Drosophila melanogaster: one gene and its partner. The protein of the gene in region 1 interacts with the protein of each later gene in a pairwise test. Each region holds a gene or a part of one and is shown in the gene's direction. Other genes may lie near its edges.

What was found. Proteins that work in one complex are often made in the same cells at the same time.
Region 2: the proteins of Slip1 (region 1) and CG18336 interact in a two-hybrid assay, tested with the Drosophila melanogaster proteins (one large-scale study listed by BioGRID).

The regions. Positions count from the first base shown.
Region 1 is NC_004353.4:661,899-669,664, forward strand, and holds the start of Slip1 (SLo interacting protein 1), read left to right. Parts: upstream 1-1,722; 5' UTR 1,723-1,802; coding exon 1,803-1,844; intron 1,845-1,956; coding exon 1,957-2,442; intron 2,443-3,089; coding exon 3,090-3,407; intron 3,408-4,052; coding exon 4,053-5,034; intron 5,035-6,521; coding exon 6,522-6,676; intron 6,677-7,231; coding exon 7,232-7,552; 3' UTR 7,553-7,766. Other genes in the region: CG46466 (uncharacterized protein), read right to left, coding at 1-75. UniProt on the Drosophila melanogaster protein: May selectively reduce calcium-activated potassium channel (Slo) currents by reducing the number of Slo channels in the plasma membrane.
Region 2 is NT_033778.4:11,293,225-11,296,542, reverse strand, and holds CG18336 (uncharacterized protein), read left to right. Parts: upstream 1-1,956; 5' UTR 1,957-2,277; coding exon 2,278-2,293; intron 2,294-2,354; coding exon 2,355-2,623; 3' UTR 2,624-2,767; downstream 2,768-3,318. Other genes in the region: CG42336 (uncharacterized protein), read left to right, coding at 1,373-1,861.

The DNA.
Region 1 (7,766 bases):
GAGATCGCAGGTAATTTTTTCGGAAATTGAATTAAGACGTGAGAAGTATGACTGAGCCTCATCGTGTGTTGTCATTTTTGATCTGAAAATAAATATGGTTTGCTGTATTAAATGGTTAGCGGAACGTTAGATTCTATCATAAAATCGAATAATTATATTAACCTGAATTCTTGAAAAAGTATTTATAATTCTTTTATACTCTTCACTCGTAAAGTAAGGGGGTTATTAAAAATTAAAAAAGAACATAACAGGTGAACAAAAAGGTTTCCGAGACTAGTTAATGAACTTCGGGATTTGGACACTATATGATGTCCAAACCGAAAACAAATGCAATAAAAAAGAAATATATAACCTTAGAATCAAATTAGCCCACCTCTCCTTTATTTACATTACTAATTTTTGGTAGCCAGAGGAGTGCTTCCCGACATTACAACATTCATAGGGGCAGACGGAAGTATCAACTCGGATGGGTGTTTCTTTCTAATCTAGACACATACATATGTATGTATATACTACATAGGGTTTATGTGTGTTTAAATTGATATGGGCGTTACAGTTTTGAACGATTTGTAGGTATTTGGTTAAAATTGTTTTTGGCAGTTTTTGGGCGGTTCGTGGTCGTTAGAACAAGCGTGTAAACATTTGGAAACATGTGAGTATAAAATGGGATCGATGCGTTCCTATTACATACATATACTTTCTATGATCGGAGACGGTTTCTTCTACCAATTACATACATTGCAGCGAATCTAATACATATACGATTTTACTTTACAAGTAATGGGTATAATATAGGAAATAAACAAAAATCGGCAAGCCGATTTTTATATGCTTATACTGAATAATATCTATTTATGATCACGAACAGAAAAAATTTGACTTTTCCAAGGCATATGGTCGAAAACTGTTCAATACCGAGATAAAACACTTTCTAACAAAAAAGAAGATATGTATGTATGTTCCCCTTTGTCGAGGTCTTTCTGCCATACATGTAGTATGCATAGTATCGGCAACAGAAAGGCTTTTAGAAAGATTTAGTGAGAAACGGGCGTACGGATATGGCTATGTCCACCTGGCTCTTGACACTTCACATTATTTAGGATATTTTTACTGAAGTTTAAATTTACTATTTAAATAATAAAAATTACTGCGATTTCCCGTTTTAACCATCATACAACCTTAAATACGAATTGATCCGGCTATTTAAGCTCTATATAATTGTATATGTGTATGCTTTAAGAAATACGCATCCATCGATAGATCAAGATAAAAGTATCGGAAATAAATTATTATATTGTGTTCACACAGTTAAGTCACTAAGGCCATTTCCATTTCATTTACATAGCACAAAATTGATACGAAACGACAAGAACTTCAATGACAGGTGCGTATCAAACAATAGTGGTTACAAAAACCATTCTATAGCAACTCTTTTTAGTCAAGGGGCACCTCCGCTTTTCGTGGTTATCAATGCCTAAGCCATTGAAATATTATATTATATTATCAATTTCATTACATCAACTTCAACTTTATATTCAACAATATGAATTGAAAATTGGTACAGTCTGAAAATATGCGTTTATACGAGCGGATAATTTTAATTGCTATGATTTCTCAATCCGTTAACGGTTTCCATTCCGTTGCGAGTTATTAAACGATTACTTAAGAGAATCGATTACAATTTTTATCAAAAAGAATACGTAAATGATATAAATGAAAACAAAAGGTTTGGCCACACTTTCGAAAAAATATGTATACAATTAAATGAAAATAAATATGAGTTTTGGATTTTAAGCATCACTATGAGTATTGCCGACGTGGAGTACGAATATGTTGTGTTAAAAGTAAGTTCAATATAAAGTAGGACTAAGAACCGAGTTCTCGTTTTACCATAAATAGTTCCATTCGTGTGAAATCTGTTTTTTAGCGTTTCAAAATGCACATATTCTGTTTCAGATAAACGGTTACGATATTAGTCATTTGTCGAGGTATGAAGCGGTTCAAAAGTTCCTTCAATCTAAAGAAACCCTTGTCGTAGAAATACGCAGACAGAAACACAATGCATTAGATTTAGAATTAAAACATGGCTCCAATGCCAAAATATCAAAAGTGGACAATCCCGGAGAACTTTCTGTCCTAACTGACAAGTCAGCAGAAGGGACGATCACAGCTGCCAGTGCCTCTCAACAAATAAATTGCCCATCTTCAACATCGTTGAAAGAAATCGAGACGAAAACTCCTGTGGTTTTAACTCTTCGGGCTAGAAGTCATGAGGATCGTTTGGGAAGTCTACAAGCCGCATCGAAGGAAACTCAAACCCAATCTGTCGTTGGTACGGACGTTTTAAAGGATAACGATTTGGTTAACACAATTACCGACAACTTCATAGAGCATGAACACCATTTGTTCGAACAATGCCTGGAACCGGAAATCGACATTGAGGTATTTACCATACATTACTACAGCAGTACCACAAAACTGTTCTGGTCTGTCTTCGCGATGTGCGATGGCGACTTCTCTATACACTTAAGACCCATTCTATGCTTATTTAATGCAAATACAAATTGCGTTTGTATGAGCATTTGTGTAGCGTTTGCTTGGGCTGCGGGCCCACATTCAACCCTTGCCCTTGCGAAGTGCAGAAATTTTAAATGCTCATATTCTCCATATGTACATACATATGTATGTTGCAGTTTTGTTATATTCGTTGAGGAGAGACTATATACCAACACAAGCCATCTGTAGACTTTGAATGATCGAGCGGTCGGACGGGCATAACAGTTATTATTAATATTCACAAAGTTTATTATTAAAATTTTTTGGAGTTGTGTGTACACTGTCACTTGCTAAGTATTTGCACACAATGATATTTAAACAAATTTCGAGAAAGCAAAAAATATCAAATAAAATAAATAAAAATTTTTGGAAGGTATAAGGTGATTGCCTTTTGTACGCCAGTGGTTTATTTACTCTCGCCGTCTACATAAATATTATTGAAACCGATGTATTTATAACAGATCCTAAAACTGTCAGTTGCTTAGATATGTGTGTTGGGATTCAAAATAATAGTATTTTTTTATAATCAACAGGAAGTAACGCTTGTTAAAGGTGTTGAACAGTCAAGCAGCAATCAAATCGGGCTCATTGTTACCTCCTCCGGAATTCAGCAATCAAGTACCGACACGAATAAAGGTGACATACTAGGTAACGTTTTAGAACATAGTGAGGATGTGTTCATCAGTGGTGTACAACCGGAAAGTATAGCCTATCGTGATGGGCGCCTGCGACAGGGGGATCAGATTCTTCGTATTAACGGCTTGGATGTTAAAAACCAGGAGGAGTTAGAAACTCAGATAGCCAGGAGTAGTACATCAGTAACGCTACTAGTTAGTCGAATTCTATACCCTGTAAGTCGAAATTTCTAATACCAAAAAAAAATTCCCAAATAAACACTTAGTTCATAACTATAGTAAGGGGTTATACCACTGTAGAATTTAATACGCTAAAAAATGCGCACCATTAAATTAAAAAAAATATTGTTCGTTCTGGTTTTTAATTTAGATCCGATTTCGACTTGTTGCCTCAGAGTAACCGCCTTCAATCTCGTAACTTAAAATCATGGTTTTGTTTGGAGTATATCTTTATATATATATTTACCTTACGGTCAAATTCGCATACGCTTACTAACGATTTTCCATGAATCCTCAAACTCGTTTTATAAAATATGTGCTTAACCAGGTTAGTAATACTATTAATACCCACATTCCATATAGATGAGATGGGTGTTGGGACTATAAAGTCCATAGCGATATGTATAATATTTGAAAAGTCAATAATGTTAATGGTAAATATTTTTGTGATTGTATTCTTAAAACAGACCGCAGTGGGAGTTGAGAATTTGTAGAAAAATATTATTTATTTATCCAAAATAAGTGCCTACAGTTGTGTGACCCATTGATAACCGATAAAACCATTTTTATTAATCAAAGTATAAAGTTTAAAACTGTAAATATTTTAACTAGCTGCAATATTTTGGAACAAATTTTTTATAGGAAGACGATGATGACGAAGATATACATTTTGAGTATGCTAATACATTTCTGCCAGATGACTATACAAATGTAGTGGATAAATTGGATAAGGTTTTGTTAACTCACGTCAAGTCTTTGGAAGAACTATCCAATAAATCCGCCATGCAATCTGACGAATGCTATCACATACCAGAAAAGAACTCATCTGATTCAAACGTTAAAATATCTTCTTTGGCGAAAAATATCATTGAGCAATCTACCAAGTCCTGTAGTAAAATAAAGCTTCGACCGAATGCAAACTTGGATTATAAAAAAAAATTCAATCTACCTTTAAGCCAAGAAGAAGTTCATCTGCAATATGAGTACGATGAAAGCGAGCACATTTACGAAACCATTCCAGAAGATTCTGAAAGTGAACCAGTGTATTGTTCACCGTACCAACGTTCAAACGACAAGACGTCAATAGGTTGTTCATCTCCAATAGCATCGAGACCGGCCGAATCATTAGAAAGAACAATGCAACAACAAACTCAAAGAGTCGCCCAGTGGTTGGGCTTGAAGCCACAATACCAGAAAACTAGACAAACTCTAGTTGGTCGACCCCCGCCGTTGAAATTAGTACAGCAACCTACTTGTAGTCGTGTTTTTACATTGCGTAGCACCTTAACCAACACAAGCGCATCCAGCAGTAGTGGAGTGGCATACAGCTCTTATGGACAAAATAATGTTGTTACAGGGAACGCCGCGGCTCCTGGCGAAGAGGTCGATAACTCCTCAAGTGCCTACAACACTGGTGATTCTAATAATAGCGCCTCCCCCCATCAAAATACTACAAATCCTGATGAAGCCATCGCCACTGGTCGCAAGCTAGATAGTACTGTTATTGATAGCCCCAATGATCATTTGGATGCCACAGGTGTAAGCACTATGTTGCTATTACCATTCGGCAAGTCTGGCCGTATTGGTCTCTGCTCTTCCAATCTGCCTACAGCGTATGTCAGCGGTATGCATAACAATTATATTTTAGTTGCAGATAGTACGTAGCGTCTGACATATCAGACGTGCTCCACTTTAAAAGCTCTTCACCTTTTACTTTTTAAACTTTGAATTAAATGGTACTAGGCTCGTTAAAAAGCTAGTAAACGGTTGAAGAAAATTTCAAACCCTGTAAAGTATAAATTCTTGATTACTAGACGAGTCTATCTGGTCATGTCCCTCTGTCCTTACGGATGTCGAGATGTCGGTAGATATAAAAGCTAGAAAGTTGAAACTAAAGGCTTATATTTTAACTGGAAAAGTCAATATGTTAATGATAAATATTTTTCCGATTGGATTCAACAAAAAGAGACGCAGTGTAGGTTGAGGAATTGTAGACAAAATATTATTTATCTATCGAAAATAAGTGCCTACAGTTGTGTTAACCATTGAGAATCGATAGAAACCATTTTTATTAATCAAAGTATAAAATTCAAAGGTGTAAATGGTTTAACAAATTTTTATAGGACGACGATGATGTCGAAGATATACATTTTGAGTATGCTAATACATTTTTGCCAGATGACTATACAAATGTAGTGGATGAACTTGATAAGATTTTCTTAACTTACGTCCGCTATTCAATCTGACAAATGCTATCATATACCACCAAAAAAACTCATCTGACTAAAATGTTAAAATATCTTTATTGGCGAAAAATATCATTGAGCAATCTAACAAGTCGTGTAGTAAAATAAAGCTTCGACCGAATGCAAACTTGGATTATAGAAAAAGCTTCAATCAATCTTTAAGCCAAAAATAAGTAAATCTGCAATGTGATTGCGCGCACACCTATGAGGCCATTCCATAAGATTCTGAAAGTGAACCAGTACCAACGTTCAAACAATAAGACGTAAATATATATTATTGATTACTAGACGAGTCTGTCTGGCCATGCCCCTGTGTCCTTAAAAACGTCGAGATCTCGGAAGCTATAAAAGTTATAAAGTTGGGACAGCATGCAGTGATTCTCTCTATCGATATGTCAAAAAATTTGGACCCGCCCATTTTAACGCCATTTTAGAGAATGCTATAGTCAAGTTCCCCGACTATCAGATACCCGTTACTCAGCTAGTGTAAATGCGAACGCGAAATTTCATAATTTGTCTGGGATATCAATAAATATGGGGGAATACAATAAGAAAAAATTTTAAAATTTTTCAAAAGTGTGGGCGTGCATAGACGTTCATGTCCAGAACGACTCGCCTATTGACACTGATCAAGAATATATGTATATACTTTATATGGTTGAAACGCTTTCTTCTACCTGTTAGATACTTTTCTCCACGGGTATAAAACGATTTATCATTTTTGCCTTGATAAAAAAAATTCTGAAGCAATTAACATTTTCAAATTTGTGTAACATTTAACTGAACGTCTTATTATAAGATTTACAAACTGAAAACGATATATCGTGAACTTCATTTAATTACCATTAACATTATTCCACTTCAGAGCGGTATACCAACGTTGGGTCTGAAAATGAAATTCATCCACTTAAAAGCGACATTGAAATACTAAGAGTTAAACCAACTGATGATTCCTATAGTCATTGTCCACAGTTTAACGCCCCAAATTTGAGTAGTTACCACTTTGTTAGTAGTCAAGAGGTAAGTACAAGTTTAATGTATGTGCATATGGGGTAAAATGGTATTAGTAGGGGATTAAAACGAATGGATGACAATGATTTTAACAGTTGACGGTTAAATCTAAGATTTCATTTGAATGTTACACATCTTAATGAATTAAGTATCATCCATTGAAAATATTTTAATAATTTTCTTATAAGTGCATTTACTGAACGTTTTCTATGGGTTTAAAATTTAAAACATGTAAGGATCAACAGGTCAGGAAAATACATATTTTTACCACTATTTACTACTTTATTCAACTTTTTTCTAAGATCATTCCAATAAGAGATCACATGAAAGGAGGTTTTAAATCGATTTTTAGTGAAAAATTATGCATCAAAAAAAGAACAATTCTAAAAACATTGTACATTTTCAATAAAATTCAAAGGGCAAATATACCATATAAGTAGGCTTGCAAATCTATTAAATCTATTAGTATATACATGTATCTCATATTCCATCTCTCTCATATTCCATTGAATATATTTTTTTGCCCATATTCTATAAATAAAAGTTTTGATTACTTTTGTAAAGGTTGCAAACAGATGTCATATTTCAACAAGCTTACAAAAAAATGCTACTTTGCTTAACGGTGAAAGTGCTGAGGAAATACCCATGGTATGGAAGGTTAAAAGGCGACCAGATGGAACGCGGTACATAGTAAAACGGCCAGTACGTAATCGACCCCAAGTTGCATTGCGGAAAAATATGCGTTACAACGAGGTTACCACGACGGAAGACGATACAATATCTGAAGTAAAAATAGGTCGTTATTGGACAAAAGAAGAACGAAAGCGGCATATCGAACGAGCTCGAGAGAAGAGACATCATCAGACGCAGCAACAGCAACAATAGCCACAGTAACATTTTCCTTTTGTACCATTTAAAACTTACATAGCTTTAACAACAGTCTTAAGAACACTAATTGGATTTACTGTCGAACAATTTTATTTGATTGTTATGGTCGTCATCAAAACTTAAAGAGATTATCAAGGTGCAAAAACAAGATTTGTCATAATTCCACTTTAAAATTTTATAATCTAACATTTTTTGGTGTGTCCAAATTGAA
Region 2 (3,318 bases), on another chromosome or scaffold:
GTAGACGTTTATATGGTGGCCATCTTGTAACATTGTAGCCATCTATCGCTCGCGAATGGGACGGCACTCTTTACTGGGGTTTTGTCTTTATGTACTCGTGTGTCCGGCACTGATTAGTGGCTCTCCCTTATCGCATATGCACACATATGCTCTCCGCAATGCCAACTTCTTGCGATCACCTTTGAAAATATGCTGACGAAGGCAGGAGGCAAAACGAAAAGCGCAGCGAAAAGTTAACTAGTGGGCATATCTGGGAATAATGAAATACAAGCGACTGATTACACACGAGTGGCGGCTTATAATTATATTGATTTTAATATAAGTTTTAGAGAGACTCATTCAGTCCTCCCAAACAGCAGAAGCCGGAGCACGTAAGCACCGGCGATCTAGCGCCAAAATTAGTTAATATTGGAAAGTGTGCGATTTGGGGGGGATTAAATATCGTAGTTTATGTGATTTGTACAATCGTTATTATCTCTGCATGCCGCGTGTCAAACTTGTGTTATAGATAATCAAAATCCATTTTCGAATTCGATTCGTTTGTTTTGCCACGTTGTTTGTTTCTGTGATTTTGTTTGCCCCCCCAATAGCATGCTGAAATGCAGAAAGTAGAACCATAAACCGAATACCATGATTTCCTATATACCATCCATTCAGACGCGAACCGCTAAAAGCCAAAGAGCCCACAGAACCCAGCCCGTAAATTAAAGCCCCAAACAGAGATTAGATCATGGCTGAGGATCCGGTGAACCAGCAGGCATTCGCTGAGGACGTGGCAGCTGCCGCTGCGGCTGGAGGAGCCGGCGGTTTTGCCGGTCCCGAGCCCGGACATCCCGACTTTAAGATGCCCAGTGCCGAGGAGATCTGGAAGCTGGTCGAGGGCATGGAGGGAATTTCGGACGACGAGCGAGCCGAGCTCCGCGAGAGCATCTTTAACCCGAAGCCGCCGTCGCCGGAGGACTTCATGCGCCAGTACGGGCATCCGGGCCACAGTTCCCGGGAGTACCTGGTGTTCTTCGTGATGCTGGCCCTCATACTCATTGTCTTTGGTAAGCGTCCTCCGGAACGAGCCACTAACGAGTCGTATAACCCTTATCGGGCGCGATATACGCACCCACCTGGGTTTCTGCTTAAAGGGCGATAAGGTTTTAGGAGGCGGCTATGTCGAAGCACTCACTCACTCGCTCACGAGCCACAGCTAGAATGTTTGCTTCGTTTAAAAGCGTTCGATTTTTGATAAGATAACCAGTGGTAAGCGTAGGATCCACCGCAGACATAGGTAGAGTGGAATCCAAAGAGCAGTATTTGCCAGAGACCCATGCCGGGCTGTAGTTGACACACCACTTAGCCCCTTTTCCGAACAACCCAAAACATGAGTTGGTCGGGTTCCAGTGACGAGCTCGGGGTTATTGAGCAGCTGAAAAAGTCCGTGGAGTCGATCGTGGCCAAAACTGGGCCCAGCAGCAAGTTCTCCAAGGATCTCGTCCAGCGGATCGGCGAGATGCAGAGCAAGCTGGAGTCCCTGGCCGAAACGGATCGGCATGTGTTTCTCGCCGAGATGAAGGACAAGTTCCAGCAGACGATTGGCAGAATCGAGGAGCGAATAGTGCAGCACGCCCATTTCGCACAGACCTACTCCAGTTCCATAGTGTCGGCAGTGATCTTTCTCTTGGTCTCCATATTCGGTCTCAGTTCCCTTGATCGCATAATGTATCAACGTCACCTTACTAACCGTCTCCCTTCTTTCCGCATTACAGCTCTCTTTGGCTACAAGCTGTACAAATCCCTGACGGAAAAGGAGCTCAAGAAGCAGGAGAAACTGAAGAGCAAGCAACAGAAGAAGGCCAAGAAGTCAAACTGAAGGAGATGGAGGCGAGGATATCATTGACGTAGTGCACTTTCCGGCCCTGAGACCTTCCATCTTGTTAATCAATACAATCGCCCTGTAAATGACTAAATCATAAACCAGTAAACGTAATAAAATAAAACGTACCCCATAACTCTTTTAAATGCCACGGTAATTGTGTTGTTACGACGAGTCGAATTAATTGCCATTAAAATACGGCATCAGGAAATGCAAATCGGTGTCGTGACCTAACTTGTTGCTGCCATCTAGGCAATCCGTCCAATCCTGGCCTCCGTTGTCATGGGAAACGGGGTCGTTTTGTCGAAGCTTCTCCTGTCAGGCCAGCTATTAATAGTTAAATTCAGTTTCCAGTTACCCAGTTAAGCAGCAACACTCGGAAAGGATCAACAATTTTTGCGGAAATAAAAAACATGTCCTATTCCAGCCGTAAGTTAAAAGCTCAACCATGACTTATCTATTAATCTAATGTGTCAACATGCCCTTCTAGGATTTGGTTTCGACTTCCATCTGCCGGATGAGGGATGGTGCTACCCGAAGAACGACATGCATTTCATCCGCAGCGCGGAATGGGTGCCCGTGGAGAAGGCAGGCGTGGGCCGCTCATTCGCCAATCCCAATGGCGTGATCTATCCGCGGGTGGTAGGCATGATTCCACGCTACGGCGGCCACGTTCCGGGCAACAAATTTCGTGTGGGCAACACCTATGGCCGTTCCACCATCGACGCCAAGCGTCATCTGGCCCTCAATCATGATTGAGGACCGAGTTATCGGAACACTCACTCACCATTAGCCAATCAAATTCGCTGTGTTACGCTTACAGAAGCACCCGAAATAAATCGTATCCAGTAGAAGCCTGTAGAAAATGGCAAATAGAAATAAAATCATACAAATTCAAATGTCCAAGAAAAGCACATTTAATTTATGATGGCTTTTTCGAGCAATAAAATTAATTAAACTTTAGGTCACAAGATAAGAATATATTCGTTATGGTACACAAGGTGCCAAAAACACTTTTCTCCTAACAAATATCAAGAAAAGTAACTATAATTATTGATCGCACGCGAAAAATTTTAAAATAAAATCTCAAAAAGTATTTATTTCATTTATTATTTGACTTTTAGTACATTTATTACAACATTTCTGTAAATGCTTCAATATTTTTTTATAATAATAAATACTTCTTGTTAATTTTCAATATTTTTAGAAATGAAAGGAGTGATATGTATATTTAAACGCCTTATGAGAGTATCAAGTATCAAAAAGGCGCGCAATTTAAATTCTTGCTCCGCTGCAACTGTCTGTATAACAATATTAAAACATCCTTACTTTCCTAGCTTTCTATTACTAATGTACTGTCGGTGCTTGGGGTCATATATTTTTAGATTTTTCATAGGAATTTTCATCTCAGAAAAATTAAATTAAACCGAAATCACGTAGTGTTACCATAACGC